3 linked regions of the Oryctolagus cuniculus genome follow. The protein of the gene in region 2 binds, or shares a complex with, the protein of the main gene of each other region. Links are inferred from orthologs where the notes say so. Each region holds a gene or a part of one and is shown on either strand. Other genes may lie near its edges. The genes, in order: MAGI2, DDN and WWC1.

Region 1 (9,727 bases), on a different chromosome or scaffold from region 2:
TGTGCTTTGGTGCAAAACAATTTAGATCCATACATAGTTTTTTCAAAATAAGCATTTTCCATGAACTGTTTGAAGACCCCTCATATGTAAAAGGGAACTGCTTTCAAAGGTAGAGGAATAGCAGGATTCAACTAGAAGGCAGATAGCAAGTGTGTACCATGAGTGGTAAAGATAACAACCGGTTCACAAGAGGGTAACTTATAGGGTGGTAAAGACAAAATGAGTTGAAAAGGCTGTTGGTAAAGAGTGTTAAACAGTAGGTCTGCAGATTGAGTAGCTTCACTTAAAAGACTATAACATCAGAATTGAATAGGGAGTAAATTATTCTAGTCTGGTCCAGGGTGGTGGTTAAGGAGGGCAGACGGCAAGTGGTGAGTGGGAGATGCTGAAAACGACGACTCTGCAGACCATGATGACTCAGAGTGTGGAAGCAGAGAAAAGAGCTGTAAAAATAACTCCGTTTTAAACAATGCTGTTATAGAGTGCCCGTTTCATCTAAGATGAGTTATCCATGAGCATATCCAATGCTGTATTTTGATTACCATTTCTAAGAAAGAAATAACGTATCTGAGAACATTTTCTCATATAGGAGAACAATTTTAAACCACCTGCTTCATCAGCCTTAGTCTCCCTCACTTGCAATTTTAAATCCCAAAATTTGGGGACACCAAGTTCATTCACACCCAATCTGACCAACAGTCCCAAGATCAGTAGCCCTAAATATGGGCTAAAGTCAAAGGACATGCACATAGGAAACAATATAAACTTTTGGGCAGTATAATAATGAAAATGTATGTCTATTCTTCAAAAGGAATGTATCATCGTACTTCTAAAGAGACTTTTTTCTTGGTAGAATAAAAGGTGTTTTCATAAACATGATCTCATTCTCACAGTTTCCCTGCAATAGAGGAAATGGGAAAGAGATTTTTAACTCCTATTTTATAAATGAAGAAGTTGAGAGATGAAAAGATAAAGTGACTTTTTTCCTGCCAATTCTTCCTCTTAAATAGGCCAATGAGTTGAAATTAGAGCACATTTTTCTAATGCCATCTTTTTCAGGGCTCTTAAACCGAGTCTATCCCAGGACTTGGCATGGCGCTATCAGATGACATATACCAGGTGGCTCATATTTTTCCTTCACAACATGTAAATGACATTCATACAGCACAGGCTATAAATATTCTACCCAATCAGTTCTGACTGAACAAGCAAATGTTTGCTTATGTCTCTGTCTACAAAAGTTTTGGGCAAGACAGATTGTCTAAGAATCTATATGTTTTCTGAAGTGGGCAGTGGATACTGTCAGGTTGTTAAATAGTTGTATCGCATGATAGCTGATGGCTCATCTTTTACATTCAGAAACCCGCATAACTCCATGAAGATATTATTGCAGGGTTCTTTATCACTCGCTTGCCTGATAACTTGAAAAATTGCTCTGGGTGGAAAATATCCATAAATTTTAAAAGGCAGTCTCCCTAAGAGCCACACATAGTTCGCATTCCATTTCTAAATAGCAAGATCACATTAAAACTCAAAAATAGATAACATTAGTCACAGTAATTCAAATAACTACTCCTTAGGCCTAGCAGGGAACCTTGAGAGCTTTGAGCATTACTCTTGGCTCTTTCTTTTTCTTTTTCTTTTTCTTTCTTTTTTTTTTTTTTTCTCGATTAGATTCTGGCAGGGCAGAAGGAAGAATAAAGTATGCTTGGAGATGGGGGTGGGGAGTGGAGTTGATAACAGTGATTAAAGTTAGGGAGAACCTCAGGAAATTTGTGACCGTCCTGCCTTCTACTTGCCCACTTAAAAACCCTTCATTCTATAGTCATACTCAAGCCATTTTTGATTATAGCTGCGGTGGGAATGGGTATCTTGATGGGACTGTGTCAATTTTATGGAAGGATGGAAGCAAGGACAAATAATAACTGCTGGAATAACAATCATCCTGCACATCACAATTTGCAGCTTACAAACGCTGCTAACCATATGATCTCAGTTGTTATTTCCCAAAGGACAAAGGTTACTAATATTATTGTCCTTCAGCCGGCGCTGCGGCTCACATAGCTAATCCTCCGCCTGCGGCGCCAGCACCACGGGTTCTAGTCCCGGTTGGGGTGCCAGATTCTGTCCCGGTTGCTTCTCTTCCAGTCCAGCTCTCTGCTGTGGGCTGGGAAGGCAGTGGAGGATGGCCAAAGTGCTTGGGCCCTGCACCTGCATGGGAGACCAGGAGGAAGCACCTGACTCAGGCTTCAGATCGGCGCAGCGCCGGCCATAGCAACCATTTGGGGGGTGAATCAATGGAAAGGAAGACCTTTCTCTCTGTCTCTCTCTCTCCCACTGTCTAACTCTGCCTGTCAAAAAAAATATATTATTGTCCCTCATTACTTCTTTTTTCAAAAGATTTATTTATTTATTTATTTGAAAGTCAATGTTAGAGAGAGGAGATGCAGAGAGAGAGAGAGAGAGGTCTTCCATCCATTGGTTCACTCCCCAATTGGCCTCAATGGCCAGAGCTGCACCAATCCAAAGCCAGGAACCAGGAGCTTCTTCCGGGTCTCCCATGTGGGTACAGGGGCCCAAGGACTTGGGCCATCTTCTACTCCTTTCCCAGGCCACAGCAGAGAGCTGGATCAGAAGTGGAGCAGCCAGGCCTTGAACTGGTGCCCATCTGGGATGCTGGCACTGCAGGCGGAGGCTTCACCCCCTATGCCACAGCGCTGCCCCCTTCCCCATGACTTCTAATAAATGTGAATCCCAGAGGATTTAAGGTGGTTCTGAATAATCACACAGCTAGTCTGTGATAGAGCTTTAACTCAGACCACAGTTTTTTTACTTCCTATGATCTCTACCTTACCGTGCAGCCTTTCAAACCTTCAGGGAACATTGGATCAAGAATGAACGTGGGCATGAAACTTAGTCAGTATGCGAGGGAAAAAAAAGACTCTTTGGATAGGAAAAGTGGAGAAATGAGATGTAGCCTAGCGGAAACCCAAATGGCCAATAAGCATATGGAAAGATGCTCACTCTCCTTAGCATTCTGAGAAAAGCAAATTAAAGTCATAATCACACCCAATAGATGTGCAAAATTTAGGTCTGAGAATACCAAGCATTGTGTCAAATTGGGAACAGCGAAAGTTCTGGAACACCACCAGTGAAAATGGAAATGCCATGACAGTTTGTAGGTCATGTGTCATTATCTAAAAAAGAGGTACATGGCCTGTGCCCAGCAATTCTGTGCCAAGATACATACTTCAGAAAAATTCTCCCCTTTGTGCACAAGAGCCATGGAAGGAGTTGTCTTTAATAACCAAAAATTTGTAAGAGTCCTCATATTCATTAACAGAAGAATGAATAAATGTTATTATATATGAATGTAACCATCCAATAAATCACATACTTCATGAAAATCAATGAACTTATGGTACAAACATCAAAATAGAGCATTACCACAAATATATTTTGAGGGAAATTACAGAATACTAAAATGGAGGACATTTATAAAATGTTTAAAAATGCAAAACATTTTTCAAGGATTATTAATATTCTGATATTAAATACTATTTAGAGATGCAATTTCATGGGAACCTAAAAGATAAAGTACTGGTAAATAGAAACGTCAAATGCAGGACAATGGTGACCTTGTAAATGACAAAGTGGGAATACAAGTAGGGGGAGTTGTGTTAACCAAGGCAGTTTCAAAAACTAGGAGCAGTGGTGTAAGCATTAGTTCAGATGGTGGTATATAGGGATTGACTAATCTTACAACCTTTGAAGTGTCTGAAATATGTCGTGATAAAGTAGAAGAATTAGAACAAAAAGAGTCTACATGAATACGACACTTCTCTGGGACTCTAGGAATAACAGAATTGATTAAAAATGAGTCCAGGCCGGTGCTGCGGCTCACTAGGCTAATCCTCCGCCTTGCGGCGCCGGCACACCGGGTTCTAGTCCCGGTTGGGGCGCCGGATTCTGTCCCGGTTGCCCCTCTTCCAGGCCAGCTCTCTGCTGTGGCCAGGGAGTGCAGTGAAGGATGGCTCAAGTCCTTGGGCCCTGCACCCCATGGGAGACCAGGATAAGTACCTGGCTCCTGCCATCGGATCAACACGGTGCGCTGGCTGCAGCACGCCGGCCGCGGCGGCCATTGGAGAGTGAACCAACGGCAAAGGAAGACCTTTCTCTCTGCCTCTCTCTCTCACTGTGCACTCTACCTGTCAAAAAAAAAAAAAAAAAAAAGAGTCCAAAGCATCCCCAGCTGCCCCAGGTTGATGGAGAATCCTAATCTCAGAGAGGGTTTGCCCATTCCAACTCAGTTTTGAGTCCTGGCCCAATGGCCCAGCCATCGCACCAGCACCCTGTCTGATAAACATAATGGAGGGGTGAAGTTTCATCTGACCAGTCACATGGGCTGTCACATTTTCTGGAGGCAGACATAACCTGGATCCCAGGAAAGGCTTGATTGTCTTTTCTGGCCATTCCTTTACCACTTTCAAACAGGTCTCTTGCATTTGGAAAGAGGGATTGTTAAGCCAGTGCCATTAAGGACACCTTACTTAGGACCGTTTTATGCATATATTTATTTTTTTTACAGGCAGAGTTAGACAGTGAGAGAGAGAGAGACAGAGAGAAAGGTCTTCCTTCCGTTGATTTACCCCCCAAGTGGTTGCTATGGCCGGTGTGCTGCGGTCGCTGCACTGTGCCGATCCGAAGCCAGGAGCCAGGTGCTTCCTCCTGGTCTCCCATGCGGGTACAGGGCCCAAGCACTTGAGCCATCCTCCACTGCCCTCCCGGGCCACAGCAGAGAGCTGTTTTTAAGTGCCTTAAGTGGAGAAATTATTTCATAGCCTATACCTACAACTACAACAACAACAAAAAGCCAGCAATATGTTTAACTCTCAGAGTTCATCTCTGCTTTTTCATTTTTGGTGTTTGCAATCTTGATGGGCAAGTCCAAGAATGAAATTCCCAGCCATTTGCACTATCCATTGCAGAATTATCCTGGTCAGTTGGTGTCTCTTGAGCCACTCCTTTGACAACCTGTGAAAGCATGTCTTTACATTCCTCGTAGGTGCCTCAGCAAGGACAAGCACAATCACAATTTGCAAATTCAATTTTCAAGCACTGTGGTTTGTGAGGATAAAAATACCAATCCATGATAGAACAGTTCTCCAAAAATAAAAGTTATTCAGACATAATTGAAATTTTTAAAAACAATTATCTCAGACAACCACATCTTTTTGCATTTTAAGGAGGAAAATTTGTTATTCTGAATATCTTGTATGATGAATAATTTGCACTCAAAGCATTTCTAATAGCATAAAGCCACCTTCTAGCCAGCAGAACCTTGCAAACAATCCGTTGGGAGAGGACGAATGCCCTCACTGAAAATAATCAGAGAAACAGAAGCTTCCCTACGCTCAGAGGATGACCTGATGGCAGCTTCCTATTTGAAATCCAGGGTCTCAAATCTCCTCCATCCTGTTTTCCCAACAATGTTAATAATAGCCTCCATTCATTGAGCAGTCACCATGGGTCAGGCACTTTGCCGAAGCACTTTTCCTGCATTATTTCATGTCCTCCTCATTAACAACTTCATAAATAATGAAGTGTCATACCAGAAACCCCATGTACCAGGTCTTGCGTTTTCATCCAAAACCCATAACTACGTCTCAACAATTTTAAATTTCTACTGACTTGCATTGGAGATGGAAGTAAAGATGAAGAAGCAGCATGGGTAGTGTGCTTCTCAATATGAAGTCGTTTCTGAACTTCAAGAATAACCAGATAATCGCTTTTTTTTTTCAGTGTTTGATCATTATATTTGTTGGCAGACCTGGTGTCTCCTTGAATCACCTACAGTGAATCTAAGTATTATTCTAATTGATTTTCTCACTGCTTACTGAGAAATAGAGCACCTCTTTCACTAGTCTCATAAATAATTCCATTTCTCTATGTCAACGTTAATTGAACTTACCTCATGTTGTCAATCTCTTTCTCTTTCCCTTGCAGGTGATGTCATTGTCTATATTAACGAAGTTTGTGTCCTTGGGCACACTCATGCGGATGTTGTCAAACTTTTCCAGTCTGTTCCTATTGGTCAGAGTGTCAACCTGGTGTTGTGTCGTGGCTACCCTTTGCCCTTTGACCCTGAGGATCCTGCTAACAGCTTGGTGCCACCCCTTGCAATAATGGAGAGGCCACCTCCAGTGATGGTCAATGGAAGACATAACTATGAAACATATTTGGAATACATTTCTCGGACCTCACAGTCAGTTCCAGATATAACAGATCGGCCGCCTCAATCTTTGCACTCCATGCCAGCTGACGGTCAGCTAGATGGCACGTATCCACCACCCGTCCATGATGACAATGTGTCTATGGCTTCGTCTGGGGCCACCCAAGCTGAACTTATGACCTTAACCATTGTGAAAGGTGCCCAGGGCTTTGGCTTCACTATTGCTGACAGTCCTACAGGACAGCGGGTGAAACAAATACTGGACATTCAGGGATGCCCTGGACTGTGTGAAGGCGACCTCATTGTCGAGATCAACCAGCAGAATGTACAGAACCTGAGCCATACAGAAGTAGTGGATATACTGAAGGACTGCCCCGTTGGAAGCGAGACTTCCTTGATCATCCATCGAGGAGGTAAGAAACATTGGCCCAGCAATTAAATATATAGACAAAATAGTAGGATCCTTTACCATAATTCTGTTAAAATGGAGGTCTTTTGGGAGTGGAATTAAATCAGACTTTTGAAAATAAAGGTAAAGTAATAAGAAAGAAAAACGTGAGTACAGGAAGCTGTTCTGAATTTTGAGAATATGTCTCTTCCTGTTTTACATTACATATAATAATGACAGTGCTTTCAGTCATAGAAACATGATGGTATGACTTGGAGAGTAACAGCTGAATTCCCCAACTAAGAATGTGTTCTGTTTCAAAAGTGTGCTTTGGGGTGGGCATTTAGCCTAGAAGTTAAGATACCTGTGTCCCATATCCAAATACCTGAGTTCAATTCCTGGTTCTGGTTATTGACCAGCTACCGGCCAGTGCAGATCCTGGGAGGCAGCAGGTGATGGCTCAAGTAGCTGGATTCCTGTCACCCATGTGGAAGACCTGGAATGTGTTTCCAACTCCTGGCTTCAGCCGGCCCAATTCCTCTTTGAGTAATGAATCAATAGATGGGAATTCTTCCTCTCTCTCTGTCATAAAAAAATTAATTAATTAATGTATCAGTTCTGAAGAACTCAAACTGATTCACTCCTATTTTTTAAAACAAAGATTTATTTTATTTTTTTGAAAGACAGAGTTACAGAGAGAGGTAAAGCCAGAGAGAGAGAAGTCTTCCATTCCATTGGTTTGCTCCCCAAATGACCAATAGCAATGGCCAGAGCTGAGCTGATTCGAAGCCAGGAGCTTCTTCTGGGTCTCCCATGCCGGTGCAGGGGCCCAAGAACTTGGGCCATCTTCTACTGATTTCCCAGGCCATAGTAGAGAGCTGGATCTGAAGCAGAGCAGCCAGACTGCAACCGGCACCCATATGGGGTACTGGCACTGCAGGCTGGGGCTTTAACCTGCTGCTCCACAGTGCTAGCCCTTGGTTCACTATTGATTTCACTAAGAAACCTGCTGTGTTTTGAGTTGTACTTAGAATTCCAGGCTAGCAGGTGGAAACTGGTTCAACCTCTGCAACCTTAGTACAGTCCTTATAATGCCCATGGCGCACTGGGAGCTGTGCAGCTGTATAAATGCCATCTCGGAGTTCTGAGTAGAATTCTCCAGAATGAATTTTCTGCTGCTTCAGCAGTAGTTACCTAAGGTGTCTCCCATGACCTGGGAAGAAAGTCACTTAATGGGGTCAGAGCCGGGCCTAGTGTTCTGGATTGAAGTATGGCAATGGAGACCATGAGACAGGGGGAGAAGCCCTGAGCCTTGGGTCTTTCTTTCTCTGTGCCATCTCTATGGGAAGAGAATGGTGCACAGCAGAGAGTCCTCTTCCCCACTGCTCTGCGCTTGAATCTCAGTGAAACTAGGGAGAGGGAGGAGGGAAGGAACCATGACGAAAAGGATGCTCCAAAACAGAGTGTAAAGGAAAAGGTGCGAGCTAAGTCCTGGTTTTCCCACTCGGTCATTTGGAGACAGGACAGGTCCTGGAGCCTCAGCCTTCTTATCTGTGGCTCTGGGATATTAACACTACCTAACTGTGGTGGTGTTTGTGGTATTGAGTGGCCCAGATCAGGGTTTCACTGAATTTCTGTGGAGCTGAAGTGAACACAGAAGCCACGGCCAGGACAGGTCAAAAGGAGCAGTGCTGGGAGGAACTCGTGCATGAGGAACACGAGGCAAACCCATGTGATTGCCTATTCAGAGCCCTCAAAGCAGCATGAGAGTCCTCTCGGTGTGAAATGGAAGTGAAAACAGTCAAAGCTGAAAGAAGCGCCATTCCTGGTATATTTGTTTCTTTTTAGGTGTGTTTCCCTCTTAAGGAACTATTACATTATTGATTCCTTGCTTGAAAAGGGACCCAAAAAAGCAGGCATTTGTAAGCAGCATATACAAAGTATTATGTTCCTATATTAAAAAGGGAAATTAATATGATGGCAAAGCAATCTTAAATTTGACCTTCTCGAGTCATTGTTACAAAAGAGCACTTGAACTGCAATAATTAAATGTTGGCAGATTTCCTTAATTTCTGCCATCATTTGTTTAAGATTAAAAACAAATATTCCTAATTAAATAGTCATATGTTCATAATACCAATTGAAAATCAAATCTTGGGGACAGATTCTTGCTTTTAAAAGGTACAACTGAAAATCACTGCAGTAATATCCACTGTATGATTTGTAGAAACAAATTTGGACACATTTTTATATATAATGGCTTCTTTTTAAAAGCATAGCCTAGCAGGGTAATGTACTGTGAGATCCTTCATTTGTATTATTACAATTTGTGCATTTCTGAAAATGTTGAATGCACACCTGCTCTCAGCTAGACTACCCTGTTCTCATTCACTTGCTCTCTGGTCCTCTCTCTCTTTTGCTCTCATTTAAACATCAAGTAAGCAAAGTTTTGTTTGCATTTTATTTGTGTTTTGGAATGAGGGACTTGCTTTTACTTTTTGACTAGTGTAGAATGCAGAATGTAGCACCCTGTGATGCTTAAGGAACTTCTTGTCAAAAGCTTCTTGAGTTTCCCAAATTCCTACAATTTGCACTCTTCTGTCTGAAATTAATAGGAACTAGTGCTATGTTTTTGTGATGAGATTCACTTTGATTATCTTACTTTAGACAACTCAGAAGTGCTTATGACTTCATTCAGATAAGCCTAGATCTTCAAGAGCAGAATCACAGACTTGAGTGCTTAGATCAGGACCACGGTTGTTTTAAATTATTTATGAGGATTTTTTATTTACAAAGTAATAATGTTCATCATTTCTTCTTTAAAGCAAATGATGTCAGAGTCTACAATGAAAAATAATCCTCTGTCCTATCTCCTAGTTTCAGTCTTTCCAGAGGCAAGCATGTTTTGTGTTTATATTCCAGGAAGTTTCTAGTCTGCAAACACGTACAATATGATTATATTAATTAATTTATGAATATATTTATTAATGAATTTATGAATATACCTATGAAAAGTAGTAGATTTAATGTAGATAAGATGATATTATACATACACATACCTTTCTTTAAAATATCTTAGCTATTAAGGTGAATTTAATTTTTTCAAA
Region 2 (10,207 bases):
CAGCTAGTAAGAGGCAGAGACAAATTTGTACACAGGCCCAGAGTCCCTGTCCCAACACAACACTACCCCAATCCTCTGAGGATGGCAGCAGCAAGGCGAGCTCTCAGAAGCTGGCCTGGGCATAGTGGGTAAAGTGACTGCCTGCAGTGCTGGCATCCCATACAGGCACCAGTTTGAGTCCTGGCTGCTCCACTTCCGATCCAGCTCTCTGCTATGGCCTAGGAAAGCAGTAGCGAATGGCCTTGGGCTCCTGCATCCACGTGGGAGACCTGGAAGAAGCTCCTGGCTCCTGGCTTTGGACCAGCCCAGCTCAGGCCATTGTGGCCATTTGGGGAGTAAACCCACAGATGGAAGACCTCTCTCTCTCTCTGCTTCTGCCTCTCTGTAACTCTGCCTTTCAAATAAATTAATTTTAAAAAGAAAAAAACTGACCTGTGTCCTTATCTTTGAATAGCTTGGGCAGCACGAACCCCCACCCCCAGGGCCAATGCAACTCACTTCTACCAACCCCAGAGTCCTGGTTGTAGCAAAATCCAGCAATGTCTCATCACTACCCTGGTCCTCAGTTTTCCTCCCAGTCTAAAGTGCATTCTCTTGCCAAACCCAGAGGCCAAAAGCCTTCTCTGGCCCACGTCTTATCACCCCTAACTTTCCAAGTGGACTCAAAACTGCTGTTAGATGAGACTAGAAATTTTAAAAATTGATTGATTGATTGGAGAGGCAGGGGGTGGGGGAGAGAGAAATTCCCATCTGCTGCTCCCCAAGTGCCTGCAATGGCTGGAGCTGGGCAGGAGTAGAAGTTGCGTGCTCACTTCAGGTCTCCCACAGGAACCCAGTCACTTGAGTCATTACTGTTGCCTTCCAAGTGTCTGCATTGGCAGGAAGTTGAAGTCAGCAGTGGCAGCCAGATATGGAACCCAGGCACTCCATATTGGGAATATGGGATGCAGGAATCTTTTTTTTTTTTTTTTTAAGATTTATTTATTTATTTGCAAGGCAGAGTTACAGAGGCAGAGAGAGAGAGAGAGAGAGAGAGGTCTTCCATTCACTGGTTCACTCCCCAAATAGCCACAATGGTCAGAGCTGCGCCCATCTGAAGCCAAGAGCCTGGAGCTTCTTTCAGGTCTCCCATGTAGGTGCAGGGGCCCAAGAACTTGTCTTCCACTACTTTCTCAGGCCATAGCAGAGAGCTGGATCAGAAGTGGAGCAGTCGGGACTCAAACCGGTGCCCATATGGGATGCCGGCACTGCAGGCAGTGGCTTTACCCGCTGTGCCACAGCACCACCCCCAACCCAGGGAGTCTTGATAGACCAAACAGACCAAATATGTCTGTTTAATTTTCTGACACATTTCCCTGTACCGATGCCTCTGCTTTTGACCATTTCCTGTCCTTGAAATGACCTTTCACTAAATTCCACCTCAGCGGCTACCTCCTGGGAGACCCAGGGGCTTCCCCATCTCCTCCTGGAATCCATGCACTCCCCCGTCTGACCCTGCACGCACACTTAGCCCTGGCGGCTCGGGTCCATTGCCTGTGTGTTTCTAGTAGCTGCTCAGTAAAGCTTGGTGGTCAGAACTGGCCGTGAGGCGGAGGGTTTGGGGGTGGCCTCTGATCCTACATACGCGGCTCCCACTTCCTCTGCTCCCTCCGCGGGAGCCCCCTGGAAATCTGCAGCGGTGGGTTCGAAGCGGGTCAAGGACGAGCTGTCCTGGGCAGCTCTGAGCCCCGCCACTCTCCCCCCTAGGGCGCAGCAAGGTCTGCTTTGGGGCGGGTGGGCAGCCGTGTGGAGCTAATTGGAGACTACAACCAGAAGTGGTTGGCGAGCTGGGGCCGGGGACCTGCACAGCGAGCCGGAGTCGGACCCGGCCCGCCGAGTCTGCCGAGCCGGTGGCTAAATTTACCCCGGCTGACTCAGCCCTTGCCAGGAATTGGGGGGCGGCGGGAAGAGCCGTCAGGGGGCGGAGCGGGGAGGGTCGCGGCTGGGGGACACCGTGGCGATCCTGGAGTTTCCACCAAAGAACGAGTTCCCCCCTCTCCTAGCGGCGGTGGGAAAGCAGCAGGGAACAGACCAAGCCGAGGCCAAGGAAAGGGAAGCTTAGCTTTATTGAGCGCCTACTGTGTGCCGGGCACCGAGCAAGGCGCTTTACATACATTATCGTATTAAATCCTCACAACAACCCTGCGAGGTAGGTGATTATTAAATCCCCATTGACAGATGAGGAGAAGGAGGCTCCGGGGGACGAAATGCCCTGGCCAAGGTCACAAGGCCAGTAAATGGCAGAGGTGGGGGTGGGTGTCGGGGTTTCCAGGACTGGAGAGAAAAAAAATCCTCAGCGTCTGAGTCTCCAGCCGGTTGGAGTGATGAGTACAAACAGGAGCCGGAGGCCTGCTCCCGGCCCCGCAGTCTGGAGGTGGCCAGGCAGGGGACAGTAACTAGGGACCCGATTAACTGGCAGTGCTGGGCTGGGGGTGTCCGGGATCCGCAACCGGGAAAATTCGCGGCCCGCGCGCGCCTCCTCGTGGCTGCAGCGAGTAGCACACCCCACATCTGCAGGTTGCCTGGAAACTGAGCTGCTCTACTTTGCCCCTGCTTTCAGCAAAGGGCAGAGAGGCAAGTAAATTCTCGGGGTTCCTTCCGTGGGGGGTGGGGGGCGAGTGGATGCCCTAGGACATTGTGGTAACACTTCGGATCTACCAAGGAAAATTGGGGTGGAGGGAACAGGTGGCCCAAAGCTGGTTCACTGGCTGCTGTCCCTGCCTCTGGGAGCAGTGACAGGGAGTGACAGGGCCAGTGTCCTACCTTGCCTCGGGGAGCCCCCATCTCAACCTGGGAGAGTGGAGTAGGAGCCCTTTTGCCACTTACTCAGCTCTCCTGCAAACCCTGTAGAATCTCTTGTATCGGGACAAAGCAGCCACTGGGGACCCCTCAGACTGTGACTTATCCTTTCCTCTTTCCTGGCTTGTTGATGGGAAGAGGAGATAGAGGCTTTCGTTTGGTCCCCAAAGGTCAGCGATGGGAGGACAGACCTTGGAAATTTCTCATTGTGCATCCCCCCTACCCTGGGAGGCCTGGGAAGTTGGCAGAGTTGGATTGAACAGACAAACCCAAGACGTGCGACACCAACGCAAGCCCTTTTCTGCTTTGCTGGTTGAATCCATTCACTTCCTGCAAGAGCCCTTCTGTGCCCCAGGCCCCTCTGCCACCCTTTCCATCCCTTTCTTCCTGCTGCCCAGAGGTCTGCTCTGCTCAACTGCGCCCCCAGTGCGTGTGCGCCGCCCCGCACACAGCAGGCATGGAACCTCACCCCCACTTCTCCAGAAGCAAACTTGGGAACGGGCATATGCTCCTTCCCTTGCATGTCTATTTCAGGGATGGCAACCGGCATTGTTGGAGGCACACAGGGAAAAAAAAAAAAAAAAAGGCAAAAGGCGGCCGCGGGGAAAGAAGGGGAGGATGGGTCGGCAGACTCAAGTCCACAAAGGGACCTTCTCTGCTACTCCCTATCTGCCTGTGGGGTCTCGGCGGGGTCCCTCGCCCCGAAGAGGGCCTCCTCGGTTTGGCTGACGGCACCCAGAAGCTCCCGGAAGCTGTCGCTCATCTCGGTTCTCTTCCCACCTTCCTGGGGTCCAGGGTTCCCAGCCGCAGGCTGGGTCATCTCGTTCCGCCAGGAGGCGCGCGGGGCTTCCGTGTCGCTTCCATCAGAGGAGCCGCTGTGGGCGCTGAGCTCCTCAGCTTCATCCGAGTCCGAGTCCGGGGCGGTGTGGCGGCGGATGCGGGACACGGCTTCCCGCAGGGCCCCCGCGTAGGGCCCCGGGGCCCGCGCCCAGCCCCCGCCCGCTCGCCGCGGCCCCGCCGCCCCGCCCGAGCCCCGCGCGCAGCCCGCCCCTGCCGGAGCCGCGGGGCCCAAGGCGGGATGCTCGGGGCGGCCTGACTGCGCGGGGGCGCCCCGCAGGTTCACTTCGCCGACCGGGAGCCCTAAGATTCGGGAGGCGCGCTCCTCCAGGGAGGAGGAGTCGCCCGGCTTCCCGCCCTCGGCCTCACCCTCACCCTCACTCCCCTCGCCCGGCCGGTGTGAAAGGCTCACCAGCTGAGGCCTCGGGACACGGAAGGGCGAGCCCGAAGCACCCTCGCCTTGCTGCGGACCGGGCTTGGGAGGGCTGGGAGCATCCCCCACAACACGCACCATCTCAGAGGGCAGAAGCTGCACCTGCTGCGCTCGAGGGGTCGGAACGTACTGGGACCTTATCACCACGCACGTGGCGTCGATGACAAACACGCCTTCTCCACCAGCGGGGCGCCGGGAACAGCGGGGCAGAGTGTGGGCTCGGCGGGCCGCGGGGCCTGGCCCGTCCCCGTGACCCGGGGACTCCCTCCAGCCGGTGCCTCCGGGAGCCCAGGGTCGGGGGAGGGTCTGGCTCTGCCGGGACGGCTGCTTTTTAGGGGAGAGCATCCAACACCGGGGGAGCCACACCTGTTCTCTTCTTCCTTCTTTCCCTTCCCTCGAGCCCTCGAGCTGGTGCCTGGACCTGGGAGCGGGACGCGGGGGGCTGGAGGGCGCAGCTGCAGGCCTCGCAGGAGCTGTCCCGCTGCCCGGGCTCCCAGCCACGGCGGTGGCTTGGAAGCGGCGGTCGCTCCCGCCGTGCAGGCCGGCGGCAGGCAGGACGGGCCCTCTCTCTGCGGCGCCTTTGCCAGACGCCGGCCTTGCTCGGACAGCTCCGCAGCCTGGAGATCCCCCGAGCAGACCCCGGCCCTGCCGGAGACCCCAGGCCCCGAGGACGTCCCGGTAAATCCGAGGATCCAGCCTCTTCCTGGCGCTCCCTCCCTCTGTCCTGGCCGGGGTCGGAGCTGGGGCAGACGCGGCCGACGCCTGAGAGCGCTCCGGGCTTCGCTTCGTCCCTAAGGTCCTATGGGGACCCTCATAGGAAGGTGGAGCCACGTAGGGCGGCGGCCGGTCCCAGCGGCGTCGTGGGGCCGTCGCGGCGGCGCCTCTCAGTAGCAGGTGAGCCTCGTAGCTAGGGGGTCCTGGCCGCCGACCCCCCCAGGGCCCCGCCCACGCCGCCCCTGTTTCGCTGTGCGGTGGAGCAGACGGGCGGGCCGCTCTGCCCGCCGGCCCCAGGCGCTCCCGCCTTGAGGGACCCGAGAGGCCCGCAGGCTGGACGGCCCGAGGGGCGTTCCGGGGCTCGGGGCGGGGTTGGCCCGGGGGGCTCCGTCGGGCCCCGCCAGCCTTGCGCCTCTTTCGCTCGGTCTCCTTGGCCTCCCGCTCTTGCGACGCCGCTTTCCTTTTCTCTTGCTCCCGCGCTCGGACCTCGGCCGGGGGCCCCGCCCGCCAGTTGGTGGCTTCCTGCAGCACCCTGGAAGCCCAGGGCCGGCGGGGCGACGGCTCGGGGGATCCGGGGCGCGGCCTACACCTGGGACAATGAGCGGGAAGCCAGGTGAGCAGTTTGTGCGGGAAGCGAGCCGAGGTTCGGGGAGACCCCTTGGGAAGGGTCTGTGCGAGTGTGCGTGCGTGTGTACGTGCGTGGAGGTCGGGGCTGACGTCCAGAAGGGACTCCTCGCCATCTCGCCATGCACATTTTAACAGCGGCTGCCCCATCTCACCTCCTTGCCCTTTCTCACGCCTCTGGCCCCCGCAGCAAACGAGGCGAGAGGAGTCGGTGCCCCAGCCCTCGGAGTGGAGTTTAGGGAGGGAGGCGCACAGCGCTCGCTGGTGCCTTCGGGTGGTCCGGATCCCGCTCCCCGCCCCACCAACTCGCGTCCCTTCACCCCGCCTTCACTCACGTGCGACTGCGGGGCCCGCGGGCCCAGTGGCTGGCCTGGAGGTCCATGGGCTGTCGAGAGGGGACTTGGCGACTATAATGACAGGAAATGGTCTTCACTTCCATCACAAACAGCTTGGACCTCTGCAGCCAGAGGCAGCTGCCAGAGTCTGCACGCCGGAGCTCCCGGGGACTATCGCGCCCCTCGCAGAAGAGCGGACCCTCCAGCATCCTGCCCCCACCCCACCCCGGCCCCCCACCCTCCCACCCGCCCCGGGAGCCCCCTCCGAGCCCGGGGAGCCGGCGCCCACTGCAGAGCGGCGGGCCTAGAGACTGGGAACTATATATACTCGGGCACACGTGTGTGCCTGTCTGTGTGTGCGCGCGCGCATGTGACACGGCGCGGACGACTCGGCGCTGCTACCTCCCCCACGTGCACGACTGCCGCCTGGGGCCCAGGATTGGATGCCCCTTTCCACTGCGTGGCCCCCAAACCTGATGGGACCGCTCCGGGTGGGTAGGCGGGGAGGGACTTCAGATTCCTGCCAAACTGACAACGTCGGTCCCCTCACTCCTCCGCCCGCCCGCCCCCATTTCCTCAACCTTCCTGACTTGTTAACCCTTTTCTCTCCTGCTGATCCGGGGTGCCTGACCACCAGGGTTCTTCTGCCCCCCTGACTTTCTGCCTCCGACTTTGATTCCTCTGACAGGGAATGGTGAGAATGGAACTCAAGGTCTCTTGCCTGCCACCCTCTGTCTTTCTGCTGGTTTCCATGGGGTTGGGGTGCAGGAGGGGCTGGCCCAGGGCTGGGGGGCTATTTTTAGCGGCAGTGGCATTCGGGTGCAGAGATGAGATGAGTTAACCAGCTCCCATGCGGTGGAGAGGAGGCGGTGGCTTTCAGGAAGCTTTTGTGTGGCTCTGGGGGAGAGCTGCCTCCCTCCAACCCCCACCCGTCTCAAAAAAAAAAAAAAAAAGTGACCTCTACAACCCTCAATGCCTCACCTTTTTAGTGTTGCCAGCCCAGAGCTACTGAGGAATAGGATGCAGGGAGTCTGTCTTGGCCAACCGAGCTGCTCCACCACCCCCGTTCCAGATACTTGTCCTTGGGCACCCATGGAGCCCTCCCCCCATCCAAGCCAGGGGGCCAAGACTTGGGGATTATACTGTTCTGTGCTCACACAGCTCTGCCCAGCCTTAAGGGAGAGGGATGCAGAATAGGCTCATGTACTTTCACCCTCTCAGAGGGGATGGAGGAGAAATTTTGTGCTCCCTTGGCAAAGCTAACCCCCTAGCAACTGAACTAAAAGCAGTTGGTTTCCCAAGGCAGAGCCCCCCTCCCCCACCTCAATGCCCAGTTCACTGAGCCCCACTAGAAGCAGCACTCTAAAGGCTCACCTTGGGGGCTTATTCTGTCCTAGGGGGCTATTGCTAGCATCCACGTGGTCCCTCCCCCCACTTAAGTCTATACCAGGTGTCCCCTGATTCACCATGGTGATGTTAGTGGCAGCACAGCCCACGCCAACCCTTCCATGCAGACTTAGCAACCATGCCTGGCAACCATGGCAGCAACTCCAGGAGGGGTGCAGGGAGGGGAAAGAATGTGTGTGGCAATGGTTCCTCGGGAGGACGGGACAGTTCGCCTCTCCCGAGAGGAACAGGTTGAGAACAGAAGCCTGGGATGCACCCAGATTTCATCCCTCGTCCATGACGCAGCTCTGTCCTCAGACTTTGAGTGAGGCTGACTGGTTGGGTTTTCAGGGGAAGCGAGAGAGCCCAGTGTGCTCTCCACTGAAGCACACAGAGTCCTTTGGGTACAGACCCTTCCTTTTAAGAGTCTGGAAGGGTGGCTGTGGGGCAGGGTGGACTCCCTGAGAAACACAACAAAACCCAGGCACCCTGCTCCCCAGCATGGACCTTTGGAGAGACCCCAAACATCCTGTCCCACTACTTCACCACCACCCACCCCCCTTGATTCCACGCACCTGCCACCTGCTTTGAGGCCTTTGCTTTGCTTGAAAGTGCTTCCTTCCACTCCAGGCCCCACTTGCAGGCTCTTTTAAAGCCCTTGCCTCCTCCCTAGACCAATTCTCTTCCCCAAGGGAATGTGACACGAGACATCTGTCCTTTCCATTGTAACCCTCCCCCACACATAAACATTCTCTAATAACCTGGAAGCCTCCCTCCCCCAAGCTTGGGAATGTGCAGTGACAGCCATGGAGACTTCAACACACAAACAGGGCTTCTCCATAGCCGATAGGGCCTTGATGCTTTTCCCTGGGTCACATCAGCAGACTCAGGCACAGTGGGTGTGGGGGCAAGGAGTTGCCCTGGGACTGTTCCTGGTGTGGATGGGAAATTGTACCAGATCCACAATGCAGCAGCAAAAAGGCAATCAGGGTGTTTGGCTCACGGCCTGTGGTCCAGCCGTCTTTCAGTCTGGCGCTGACCACTGTCGTGGGCCACGTGGGTTCAGCACAGGGAATGGGTTTCACGGGTGACTATGGTCCTGCTGCTCCTCATTCTCCCACCCCTCTCCCCATCCCTAGTTCATTCTTGCCTGGGATACAAGGCAAGAGATTTGTGGGTTCCAATATAGCACCAGTGTAGCGAAATCCCAACACTGTCCAACTTCTCTCAGAGAAGCTCATGATGGAGGCAGACCTCTCTGCCCAAAGGAGACCCCCCCACCCCCACCCCAGTATGCTTAACTCTCTGGAGACTTAACACTGTTAGAGGACTTTCCTTGGGTTCCAGCTATGGTCCAAGTGGAGGGAAAAGATAATAAGGGAATGATAGGGGACAGGGTGGGGAACAAGGCAAAATGACAATTGAGAGGCAATGAACTCTGCAGCCAGACTGGGTTTATTTTTTTTTTTTTTTAATTAATTTGAAAAAAGAGAGAGAGAGACAGGGAGTGACACAGATAGATACAGAGATTTTCCATCCGCTGGTTTACTCTCCAAATGGCTGCAACAGCCAGAGCTGGGCTAGTCTGAAGCCAGGAGCCAGGAGCTTCATCTGGGTCTCCCACGTTGGGTGGCAGGGGCCCAAGCACTCAGGCCACCTTCTGCTTTCTCGGGTGCATTTGCAGGGAGCTGGATCGGAAGTGGAGCAGCCAGGACACGAACTAGTGTCCATATGGGATGCCACAACGCTGGCCCTGTTTAAATCCTAGATTTGCTTTTTTCTAACTGTGTAGCCTTGCTTAGGTATTCAGCTTCTGCGTGTCTCAGTTTTTAGAAATCTGTCAAACAGGAGTAGTAACAGTATCTACTATTGCTCTGAGGATTAAATGAGTTCCTGCAAGTTGAGTATGCCTAGTCCAAAATGTTCCAAAACCCAAAATTTACAGAGTGCTTGACAGGATGACCTCATATGACAGGCCACAGTGGAAATGCAGGCACACACTTCTGCCCAGCATCCCAAGAGGAAAAAAGACCCTCCCAGGGGCTTCAGCCGCAGTGCACAAACTTCATTCCGTGCACAAAACTATCAAAAATACTGTAAAAAATTACCTTCAGGTTTGTGAATCAGTTACAAAATCCCCAAATAAATGAATTTTGTGTTTAGACTTGGGTCCCATCTCCAAGATATCTCATTTCTATGCAAAAACTTCAAATTACTACACACACACACACACACACACACACTCCAAAACACTTCTGGTTCCAAGCATTTCAGATAAGGGATATGCAATGTGTACAGATAAAGCACTGTGGGTGATACCTGGCACAGGTGTGTGTGTGTGTGTGTGTGTGTGTGTGTGTTAGTGTGTATGCTGTTAGTGTTGTCATTAACAATGAGTGAAATAATCATACTAAGTGGGAAAGTCAGAGCAGCAGTGTTTACCAACTACCAAAATCAAACACCACCACACCAGGAAGAGATTCATGTCATTTAATTAGATTTGCCACGAAAAGCAATAACCTTGGCCAACCAACCTGCCCTCCTCTCCAGCCTACCCATGTCCTTGAACGCGCCCGGGGACCCCGAGGCCCTCCTCGCTTACATGACTAAGTGGACGCTGCCTCCTGTATGAACAACAGTATCTTCATGAAGAGCTCTGTTGTGCCACCTTATGGCAGTCAGGGCAGGAATGGAGGCACAGGCCGGTGAGGTCTGGGGATCTCGTGGAGATCGGAATCTACTGGAGGGGCACAGAGCCGGGCCGGAAGTTGTTCTCGTGTATGTGTGAGGGTAAGGCAGCTAAAGACCCCCTTCTTCTTCCTTCTTCCTTCTGTGCCTTCCCCAGCTCCTGGGGAGAAGGGCAGGGGGCTCCTGAGTAGCGCACAGTCATCTCCCAAGGCTCCGTCTGACTCCCGGGGCCCCCCACCTCCCCCAGGGCACTGCCTGGCCCCGTCTTGCAGCTCAGGGCTTCTCTCCTCCCGTGAGCACCAGGGCCTGCAGGATGTCTGACAGCGACACAATGCCTTTGACCACATTGCTC
Region 3 (9,727 bases), on a different chromosome or scaffold from region 2:
TAGCTGAGTGCTTTCAAGCAAAATAAAAACAAGCCTGCTACTCCAGCAGGTGGCACCCTTTAGAGAATTGTTCCCTGGAGAGGAGGGGGTGCAGGTGGGCCCTCTGATGAGCCTCCAGAAGTGTTTCTGATGGGGGCCTGAAGCCAAGTCAGGACCCTCGGACCCAGCCACGTCGTGGGAAACGACTGCCCTTCGTCCTCCGCCCTTGTGGACAGTGTCCTTGGGACGTGTGGGCCGGAGTCAGCCCATGGGGCTGGGTGCACGAGGTCTCAGGGTGGTGTTTCCTTCGTGCCATCTCCAGAAGCCTTCCCTGCCGCGAGCAATGCCAGGCAGAGCTCAGACGCTAAGCAGGTTATGCGATTAGTGCCGCTGTTCAGTCAGCAGACAAATTAATCTCCTTAAGTGGCTTAGAGGAGGGTGGAGATGCGTGAGTCTGAAGGCGGGAGGTCCCCAGGGGCCCTGCAGACACAGACTGGGGAAGCCATGCTCTTGCTTGTTGTGTGGCTTTGCCCTCGCCAGCACCTGGGTCTCCCAGGCTCACCTCGTCAGCGCCCCTTTCCCCAGCCTGCCATGCCCCCAGTCTCCATACGCCTCCATGCAGCAAGCTGCCTGGCAAGCAGCAAGTGCTCTGGAGTGTTAGTGATGAGGTTGCAAGACCTGAGTCTGGCCCTCCCCGCTGTGGGGATGGCAGCAACTGTCCCATGCGCCTTTGTGGCTTGGAACTCGGCAGTGAGCCCTGCCTACCCTAGGTGCTCATTACACCAGCAAGGGAGAAATGTGCACATGTGCTGAGCCCCAAGTCAGAGACTTTCAGGAAGGGGCGGGGGGAGAAGAAGCGGAGCTGAATTAGGAGCGGAAGAGGGGTGGATGTGGCACAGCAGATTAAGCTGCCACTGGGGATGCTCACATCCCATAAATATTTTTTTAAAGATTTATTTTATTTATTTAAAAGTCAGAGTTACACAGAGACAGAAGGAGAGGCAGAGAGAGAGAGAGAGAGAGGTCTTCTATCTGCTGTTCACTTCCCAATTGGCCACAATGGCCAAAGCCAGGAGCTTCCTTCGGGTCTCGCACTTGGGTGCAGGAGCCCAAGGACTTGGACCATCTTCCACTGCTTTCCCAGGCCATAGTAGAGAGCTGGATTGGAAGTGGAGCTGATACCCACATAGGATGCCGGCAGCTTTATCTGCTACGCCACACAGCGCTGGCCCCTCACGTCCTATATTCAAGAGCTGATTTGAATCCCAGCTACTGTTCTGATCCAGCTTCCTGCTAAAACAACCTAGGAAGCAGTGGTTGATGACTGCCACCCACGTGGAAGACCCAGATGGAATTCCTGGCTCCTGGCTTCAGCCTGGCCCAGCCCTGGCGTTGTGAGCATTTGGGGAGTGGACTAGCAAATGGCGGTGTGTGTGTGTGTGTGTGTGTGTGTGTGAAACTGCCTTTCAAGTAGATGAAAATAAACAGTTTTAAAAAGGGAAGTGGGCTGGGGTGGGCCCAGTGGGAGAGCAGGTGTATGAAATTCCCTTGTCTCTCCAGAGGACTTGGGGCTGCTCCATTTACTGGGGTTGCAGGGGGGTTTCAGAAGTGGTTCCGGCCGGCGCCACGGCTCAACAGGCTAACCCTCCGCCTAGCGGCGCTGGCATACCGGGTTCTAGTCCCGGTCGGGGCGCTGGATTCTGTCCCAGTTGCCCCTCTTCCAGGCCAGCTCTCTGCTATGGCCCGGGAGTGCAGTGGAGGATGGCCCAAGTGCTTGGGCCCTGCACGCGCATGGGAGACCAGGAGAAGCACCTGGCTCCTGCCTTCGGCTCAGCGTGGCCGGCCGCGGTGGCCATTGGAGGGTGAACCAACGGCAAAGGAAGACCTTTCTTTCTGTCTCTCTCTCTCACTGTCCACTCTGCCTGTAAAAAAAAAAAAAAAAAAGAAAAAAAAGTGGTTCCCAAAGCCATCACCGCATTGATGGAAATGATAGTTCTGTAAGGAGAATGGCAGTGAATCAATCCCCTGCACCTGTGTCTGTTGTAAGGGACTTGTGTAATGTCTCAGAAGTCCACCCCAATAGCCCTGTAAAGTAGATGTTAATATCTCCCTTGTATAAATAAGGAAGGTGAGGCTTATGGTATTAAATGACTGTCCTAAAGGAAGAAAAGTAGCAAGTGGTGGGGCCAGGATTTGAATCCAAGCAGATCCAGGCATCTGCGATGCTAAACACAAAATCCTGTGAGACCCCTTCCATGGCCCCCAAAGCAAAGCAGGCTGTGCCGTAGCTTTCAGAGGGGGCTGGAATTTTGTGGGACCATCTTACAACCAGGAGGATCAAACATGGGTGCTGTAAGACACTATTCTGGTTTCTGAACCCCCCTCCCCCTTCTGTTCTTCCTCCCCCGCCCCCTCCAGCTGTGAGTACAACCCAGGGTTGCGGCCTGAAAGTGGCCTGTGTCTCAGCTGCAGTGTCCGACGAGTCCGTGGCTGGCGACAGTGGTGTGTACGAAGCTTCTGCGCAGAGGTAGGTCCCTGAGTGCTGCCTCTCTTGAGTCAGTGGCAATCAGGAACTCCCCGAATGTGCAGATCCCAGGGCCTGTGGGACCATTTGGGCTTCAGCCCCTGTGGGTGTGCAGGAGGGTGTTGCAGCCCTGCTGAGGGCGAAGCCAAAGATGCAGGCAATGTGGCTTCTGGCAGGGGGGATGGGGGCTGGAGATGCTTTTCTCTGAGAGCATACTAGCTCCATAGTAGGCATTAAAAGGTGCATTCTTAGGAGGCCAGCCCTAGAGAAAGGAAATCTTCAAGTGAGGTGTCTAGAGCAAATGGTGTGAAGCCGGGGCCTGCAGACAGGCTGAGCAGACCCCGACTTTGTCAATGGAGGGAATCCCGCTTCCAGACAAGCACTGTGTTCCCAGGTCACTGCTCGGAATCCTGATGCCCCTTCTGCCTGTTGCCTTTCAGACTGGGCACTTCGGAAGCCGCTGCATTTGACAGTGACGAATCGGAGGCAGTGGGCGCCGCGCGGGTTCAGATTGCCCTGAAGTAAGTGACAGGGAAGTTGGGATAGAGGGAGCAGTTCAAGTGCAGCCCCTGGGTGTGCAGCATTGAGCCAGCCCTGACCTTCGCAGCAACCCCAGGGAGGAAGGCAGAGCCTGCAGGGTGCTGCCCATCATGGGCTCCTGATTAAAGGGGTCTCAGCTCTTTCCCCGCCTCCCTGCTCCCCATTTTACAGATGACAAAAATAGGGTCTTGAAAGACCCGAGGGCTCACCCCAACTCATTGAGCTGGCCGGTGTCAACCAGACCAGGCGCCAAGGCCTCCCGCCTCGCAGTGTGTTTGCTCCCTGTTGCTGTGGTTTTTGTCTCCCTGTCCCCATGGAGGTTGCAACACGCTGAACTCAAGGTGACTGTGGAGGGCTGCAGCTCAGACACGGTCAATACCCATGTTGTTCTCTAATTTTCTCTTGCTAGAGGATGTTTTCTCAGTAAGAATTAATTGCTGACATTTTGATGTCAAGAAATTTCACGGCGACGTCTGGCTTCTCTTTAAATACTGAGATGAGTGACAGCTCTGGACCTCCAACCCTGCATGGCAGCTAAGCTCTGAGCCTATTCTGCTTGGAGCAGCCAGCAGCCCCCTCTTCTGATTGTTAAGAGAAAGGGTTGGAGAAGTGTCTTCCTAATGGGTGCTGCTTATGCCCATTTTCATTTCAGGTATGATGAGAAGAATAAGCAGTTTGCAATATTCATCATCCAGCTGAGTAACCTCTCTGCTTTGATGCTGCAGCTAGACCAGAAAGTGTGAGTATGTGACCCGACAGGTCTATATGATCCTCTCAGCCTCCAAACTCCAGATTCAACCATGGGTATTTAATGCACATGACCTTGATGCAAAATTGCAGCTCTGTTTACGTGGATACAGGCATAAGGGCCCCACAGAGAGTTTCTGTACATACTGAGCACCTGCCAGTACTGGCTCTAGGCGTTGGAGCCCTGAGCAAATCCTTCATGGACCCTGCCCTCCTGGACTTGAGCCTCAGGAAGAAGAAGGAATGGTCACAGTCAGGTAGATCTCTGAGCTCAAGTGTTGCACCTAGAAAGGAGTGAGTCCTGGCTTCTCAAGGGTCAGCGCCAGTTCCTGTGCTCCCCGTGCCAGGGTATGGCTGGGATTACCGACAGGCTGATCAGCCAACAGACACCTGCACCATCTGCGTGTTGGCTCTCCCGTTGTAGACGAGGTTTGCATCTGATGGCACGCGTCTGCCTACTTGCTTCTCCTGTAACGGGACCATCCTAGGCCATAAGGGCAGCCACGGGAGCTCCTGCTTCTCTGGTCTGTACCCAGCCAGCGTCTGGGGGAGAGGAATGGCAGGGAAAGGAAAGCAGACAAAACAGAAGGAGGACGAGACTGGATGCTCGGGGGTCTTCAGTCCTCTGCAGGTGTCGGCAGTGCCGGGGTGAACATCCTTCTCCTGGTCTGTCTCACTGGTCCTTGTCCACGGTATCAGGGGGACAGTGCCTAGAAGAGAGGGCCAGCACAGCTATAGTTTTCTTGGGCTTATCGAATTCCCCTGCACAAGGAAGGTTTTGTTGCATTTGCCTCTTGGGGTAGGAGGGGCAGATTCCCCGGTGTCAGCAAGCACTGGCTGCTGCTGGCCTCGGGCTCCGGTTGTATGGAGCGGGGGATTCAGGGACAGGAAGGGCGTGCATGCCCCTCAGCGGCATATCCTGCATCGCTCACAAGTACCCGTGTAGCAACTTGAGAAATTTGCACATTCACAGCCACTGTGAATCTTGGAGATTCAGCGGCTATTTCACCCAACACAGTAGCCCCAGACCTGTGCTGACCCAAGCTCTCCTGCCACCCTGTCTCCCTGTAGGAACGTTCGCGTGGTTATCCTTCCTTGCTCCGAAAGCACCACCTGCCTGTTCCGGACGCCGCCCCTGGACGCCTCGGACACCCTGGTGTTCAACGAGGTATTCTGGGTGTCCATGTCCTACCCAGCCCTACACCAGAAGACCTTAAGAGTCGACGTCTGTACCACGGACAGGAGCCATCTAGAGGAGTGCCTGGTGAGAGCGTATCTCCGTCTGTCCCTCTGTCTTTCTAGCCTTCTAGCCTTCTGGGGATTGGTCCACCCCAGGCTGCAGAGAGAAGGCGAGAAGGAGGCCCAGGTCGAATCACCGGTCAAGTTCGTTGGCTTCTAGACAGAGATACTTTTCCTCATAAGAGGAAGAGTAGTGGGCCTGAGAGAAATGCAGGAGATGCCAGCCACAGACCACAGCTTACCTGTGCAGCATTAAGGATGAGACAAGAAACACTGAATAATGAGAACAAGCAGTTCTTCTTGCTATATAGCTGGGTGGCCTTGGGCAGTGGACTTAACATCTCTGGTGCTCTGTTTTTTCATCCATAAAATGCCCTAGTGATGCCCACTAGGGAAGTTGTTACTTGGATCCAGGGAGTCAGTACAGGAAAAGCACCTGCTGCCATGCCTGACACACAGAAGGCTCTCGTGCAGCGGGGCCCTTACTGGTCCACTCCCTGGAACAGAGCTCATGTGGCTTCCTCCCACCCACTGCACTAGCAGGAGTCAGGATCGGATATGAAGGAGCCTGGGGTCTGTGTGTGTCCTGTCCTTAGGGACCAGCAGCCACATGTACAGGTGGATGTTGGTCAGCCACCTCGTAGATGAAAGGGGGATTTATGTTAAACTCAGGGGCTTGTGACATACAAATCAAAGAAGTGAAGTCTTTGTTAGCCCTGGTGCCATTCTAGAGGATAGAGTATTTTGTTTATTTATTTATTGGTTTTGTTTTTTAAGTTTGAGAGGCTGACAGATGGAGAGAGCCAAAATAAAGCCAGCTCCCATCTAGTGGGTCACTCTCCAATGCCCAGAACAGCTAGGACCTGGATGGGCTGAAGCCAGGAGCCAGGAACTCAACCTCAGTCTCCCATGTGGGTCGCAGGAACCCAACTACTTGAGCTGTCACTGCTGTCCCCTGGGGCGCACATTAGCAGGAAGCTGGAGTCAGGAGGCAGAGCTGGGAATCAAACCTAAATACCTTTTAACTTGCCTTTTAACCACTAGACTGCATGCCTACCCTGAGACAATTTTGATGATAACTCGTGGACTCTGAGCTAAGTGCTTTAGTGTGCTGGCTCACTTCAACCTTACAAAACAGGTCATGTGTACCAGAGGGGAAACTGAGGCACACAGTGGCAAAAGACCTTCCCTGTAGTCACACAGTCAGAGAGTGGCAGGAGCCTTATTGGACTCCAGGCGGGTCCATCTCTGCTCAGGATTTCCTGGAGAGCGTCGGTGGGAGTGGAAGTGTGATGTCCAGGGTCAGGCCAGCGTGGTGGGCATTTCGGTTACAGCAGAAAGCTTTTCCACACCCAGGCGCCTCCAGTGGAGCATTTGCTCAGCCCTGGGCATTCCTAAATCCGAGGAGACTCGTGCTATTTTCTCCTCCTAATTGGATGCCTTTTATTCCTCCTTCCTAATTGAAGTCTGGCCATTGCTGGTTGCCATGGCAGCAGCCAAAGCGCTCATCTCCCTGTGGCTTGTCTCTGTCCGGGGCCAATCGGAGCTCTCCCTTTCCGTATGCCATGGGGACGTGGAGTGTCAGGCTGTCATGTTTTGGTGGTGAGAGGAAGTGAGACGGGAGGAGACAGGGATTGTCTTCTGCCACCCAGAGCCTCCCTGCCTTGTGCGTCTGCTGGGAGCCCTGTGGTCAGCCAGGCAGCAGCAGTCCCCTCACTGGGCGGCGTCTGGGTGTCTGCCCTTGGCCAGGAACTCTGTGTGCAGTATCTCAGTGCATCCTCATGGTAGCTCTGAGAGGAAGTAGTGGGGTGACCTCCCTCTGCCAAAGGCTGATTTACTTCTGCAGATCCTCCAGCAAGTCGATGGAGAAGCCAGGGTTTGTAGCTTCCTTGTGTGTAGCCACTGCACTTTCCTACCTCTTGGGGTTGCTCTGAGTGACTCTCATATCCCCTGACCCAGATCAAGGTTTTGGGGGAACATGAGGCCCGCCTTCCCTGCCTGTTGCAAGTACAGAGTATGCTCACTGTGGCTTCACAGGAGTCCTGGTTGCCCCCTGTGCACCTGCTAAGCTTTGCCACACAGCTCATGCTCTGCCCGGGCGGACCCACTGCCAGGTCTGGTTTACATTGTGATGGTTCCCCTGGCCCATCTCACATGGCCACGCTCACTGGGCCGTGTCCCAGCCCTTTCCTTCCTTTCCATCTGACGAGTGGGAACAAATGCTCACAACCCAGCTGTATGTATTGTGCTGTCTCCGTCCGTGCTGTCTACTTTCTGTAACTATAACTGAGCATCGCAGTCTGAGTCATTTGTAAAAACTAAAGGTTTATTCTGCTCACAGTTGTGCAGGCAGGGAAGTTCAAGATCAGGTAACTACACTGAGTGAGGGCTTCTCTGCTGGTAAAGACTCTGCGGAGTCCCAAGGTGACACAGTGCATCCCACAGCAGACAGAAGGTCCCGGCTGGGTCTCTCCTCCTCTTTGGATAAAGCCACAGTCCTGTTGCCTTAGGGTCCCATCCCTATGGCCTCATTTAATCTTACCACCTCCAGAGGGTCCCACCTCCAAGTACGATACTCTGCTTAAGTCTCTGTTCTCTTAGCATCTCCTAGGAGTGATGGAATTTCAGCCTGAGTTTGGTGGGAACACGCACACTGTGGCAGGCAGTGTTGGAAATTGTGATCTCTTCCTGCCCAGGGGGCCTCAGTGCTGCTCGGCAGTTAGCCTGTGTCTTCTGGAACCCTTCTCTCTCCCCCTGGTTACAAGGGCTAATGCGTGGTCTTCTCTGCCGGGGGAGAATGGAGAAGTGAGAGGAGAGCTCCCACTCACCCAGCCGTCCTGCTCCTCTCTGCTGTTTCTCTGGCTTCTAAGCTGCACTCTCCAGACAGCCCCTCTGCCACTCCGAAGGACATCGTTCCTGCAGTCGCCTTGCCCCCTCCTCTGCCTTCAGGGCAGAGCCCTTCTCCCCGGGTCCTAGCCTGTCCGCATCCCAGCATGCCATACCTTCTCTCATGCTGAAACAGAACAAAATGAAGATTTAACCCCATTTCCACTGCTAGCATAGCAGAACCTTGAAAGAGGTCTTTACCTTCTCCTATAACCCGACCCAGGTGGGCGTCTGCCCTTGTGACTGTACCCAGGTGGGCATCACAGGCAGCAGTGACCTGCTTGTCACCAAATCCAGTAGCCGCTTCTTCATCCTCACCCTTCCCGACCTGTCAGGTGCACCTGACTCAGGTGCTCGCTCCAGCTTCCTGATGTCCTTTGTCCTCAGTGACTTCCCTGACTCCATGGCCTCCTAGTGTTCTTCCCACATCCCTGGCTTCCGTCTCCTGAGCCGATTCTTCCCCCTTCCCATGGTCCCTCTGTATGCCCAGGGCTCAGTCTCGCTCCTCTCTCCCTCTCATTCTGATTCCTCGGTCATCTCCTCTCTCCTGGCTTCCAGCACTATCCCATGTGTGTGGCTAGAGTCTGAGCTTCTCTTATTTCTCTGCTCACGTTCCCATTGCCTGTCCTGCGTCTTTCTTTTCATGTCTAATACGAATCTCAAAGCAGGATGACCACACGAGCATCCGACCCTTCCTCCCGCGTGTCACTGTCTGCAGGCGGCAGTCATAGTCTTCCAGTACTCAGACCAGAGACCGTGGCATCACCCTGATGGCTTTCTCACCCCCTTCCCTGATCCTGTTAGCTCCACCTGCAGGACATCTGAGATCCCGGCCGCTGCTCCCCCGAGGAAGCGTCCCCGAGCCGAGCCACGCTGCTGTCATCACGGCGCTGCGATTATTGTGGCCGTTGTCTTCTCCAACTGTCCTTTTCTTCCTTCCTCCCTTCCTGTAGCCACAGTGATCCTATTCAGATGGAAATCCACGCAGGCCAATGGCTCTGTTGAAACTGGGATGTAGACTGGCATTGTGGTGCAGAGGGTAAAGCCAGTGCCTGCGATGCTGGCATCCCAAATGGGAGCTCCAGTTTGGGACCCGGCTGCTCTGCTTTTGACCCAGCTCTCCCTGATAATGTGCCTGGGAAGGCAGGGGAAGATGACCCAAGTACCTGGGTCCCTGCCACCCACGTGGGAGACCCAAGTGGAGTTCAGGCTCCTGGCTTTGGCCTGGCTCAGCCCTGGCCATTGCAGCCATCTAGGGAATGAACCAGCAGATGGAAACATCTTTGTTTTTTCCTCTCTCTCCCTCTCTCTGTCACTCTGCCTTTCAAATAAATGAATCTTTTTAAAAAATAAAAATGGAGGGAAGGACAAAGGGAATATCATTATATTCTTACGATTGTATCTACAGTTCACATTGAATCTGTTAAAAACTAAAAATCAAAATGATAATAAAATGGGAATGTGACTTACAAAAAAAACGAAGTAAAAAGTAAAGGCCTTAGGACGGCTTCTGTCTCTACCCGAAGTCAACACCCGGCTCTTCGACATGGCCCCTGGGGCCCTGTGGGACTTGGCTTCTCCTTACCTTTGGATTTCATCCCCAAGCCACCTCCGCCAGCTCCCATCTCCCTGCAGGCTCCCATCCAGGCTTTCCCATGTGCGGTGCCCTCGGCCTGGGATGCTCTTCTCCCGGATGTGCACAGGCGAGACTTCAGACTTGCTGCTCATCCCCACCTGCTCTTTGCTCTGCTGTCACCGTCTCGGTGAAGTCTTGCTGCGCCCTCTGTGAAACCCGTTCCCCGCCCCACTCTC

Evidence for each region.
Region 1: the proteins of DDN (region 2) and MAGI2 are in contact, whole or in part, in a crystal structure (PDB 6KKG), measured with the Mus musculus proteins. The link is inferred for Oryctolagus cuniculus from reciprocal best matches to the Homo sapiens genes DDN and MAGI2. Residues at the interface, in NP_001013763.1 of Mus musculus: Asp222, Arg223, Pro224, Pro225, Pro226, Tyr227, Val228, Ala229, Pro230, Pro231, Ser232, Tyr233, His237, Arg238, Thr239, Leu240, Gly241; in NP_001164217.1 of Mus musculus: Glu308, Met309, Ala310, Tyr311, Thr312, Glu313, Gly315, Tyr318, Ile320, Asp321, His322, Lys325, Thr326, Thr327, Ser328, Trp329, Asp358, Tyr361, Tyr364, Val366, Asp367, His368, Arg371, Arg372, Thr373, Gln374, Phe375.
Region 3: the proteins of DDN (region 2) and WWC1 are in contact, whole or in part, in a crystal structure (PDB 6J69), measured with the Mus musculus proteins. The link is inferred for Oryctolagus cuniculus from reciprocal best matches to the Homo sapiens genes DDN and WWC1. Residues at the interface, in NP_001013763.1 of Mus musculus: Tyr227, Val228, Ala229, Pro230, Pro231, Ser232, Tyr233, His237, Arg238, Thr239; in NP_740749.1 of Mus musculus: Glu13, Glu14, Ala15, Arg16, Asp17, Tyr23, Ile25, Asp26, His27, Arg30, Thr31, Thr32, Ser33, Trp34.

What each region holds. Positions count from the first base shown.
Region 1 is NC_091434.1:142,750,406-142,760,132, reverse strand, and holds part of MAGI2 (membrane-associated guanylate kinase, WW and PDZ domain-containing protein 2), read left to right. Parts: intron 1-6,006; coding exon 6,007-6,645; intron 6,646-9,727. UniProt on the Homo sapiens protein: Seems to act as a scaffold molecule at synaptic junctions by assembling neurotransmitter receptors and cell adhesion proteins. Plays a role in nerve growth factor (NGF)-induced recruitment of RAPGEF2 to late endosomes and neurite outgrowth.
Region 2 is NC_091442.1:52,458,489-52,468,695, forward strand, and holds DDN (dendrin), read right to left. Parts: upstream 6,022-10,207; 5' UTR 5,991-6,021; coding exon 5,782-5,990; intron 5,412-5,781; coding exon 3,497-5,411; 3' UTR 2,087-3,496; downstream 1-2,086. Other genes in the region: PRKAG1 (5'-AMP-activated protein kinase subunit gamma-1), read right to left, coding at 10,129-10,207. UniProt on the Homo sapiens protein: Promotes apoptosis of kidney glomerular podocytes. Podocytes are highly specialized cells essential to the ultrafiltration of blood, resulting in the extraction of urine and the retention of protein.
Region 3 is NC_091437.1:55,259,337-55,269,063, forward strand, and holds part of WWC1 (protein KIBRA), read left to right. Parts: intron 1-2,397; coding exon 2,398-2,506; intron 2,507-2,943; coding exon 2,944-3,024; intron 3,025-3,695; coding exon 3,696-3,782; intron 3,783-4,861; coding exon 4,862-5,054; intron 5,055-9,727. UniProt on the Homo sapiens protein: Regulator of the Hippo signaling pathway, also known as the Salvador-Warts-Hippo (SWH) pathway.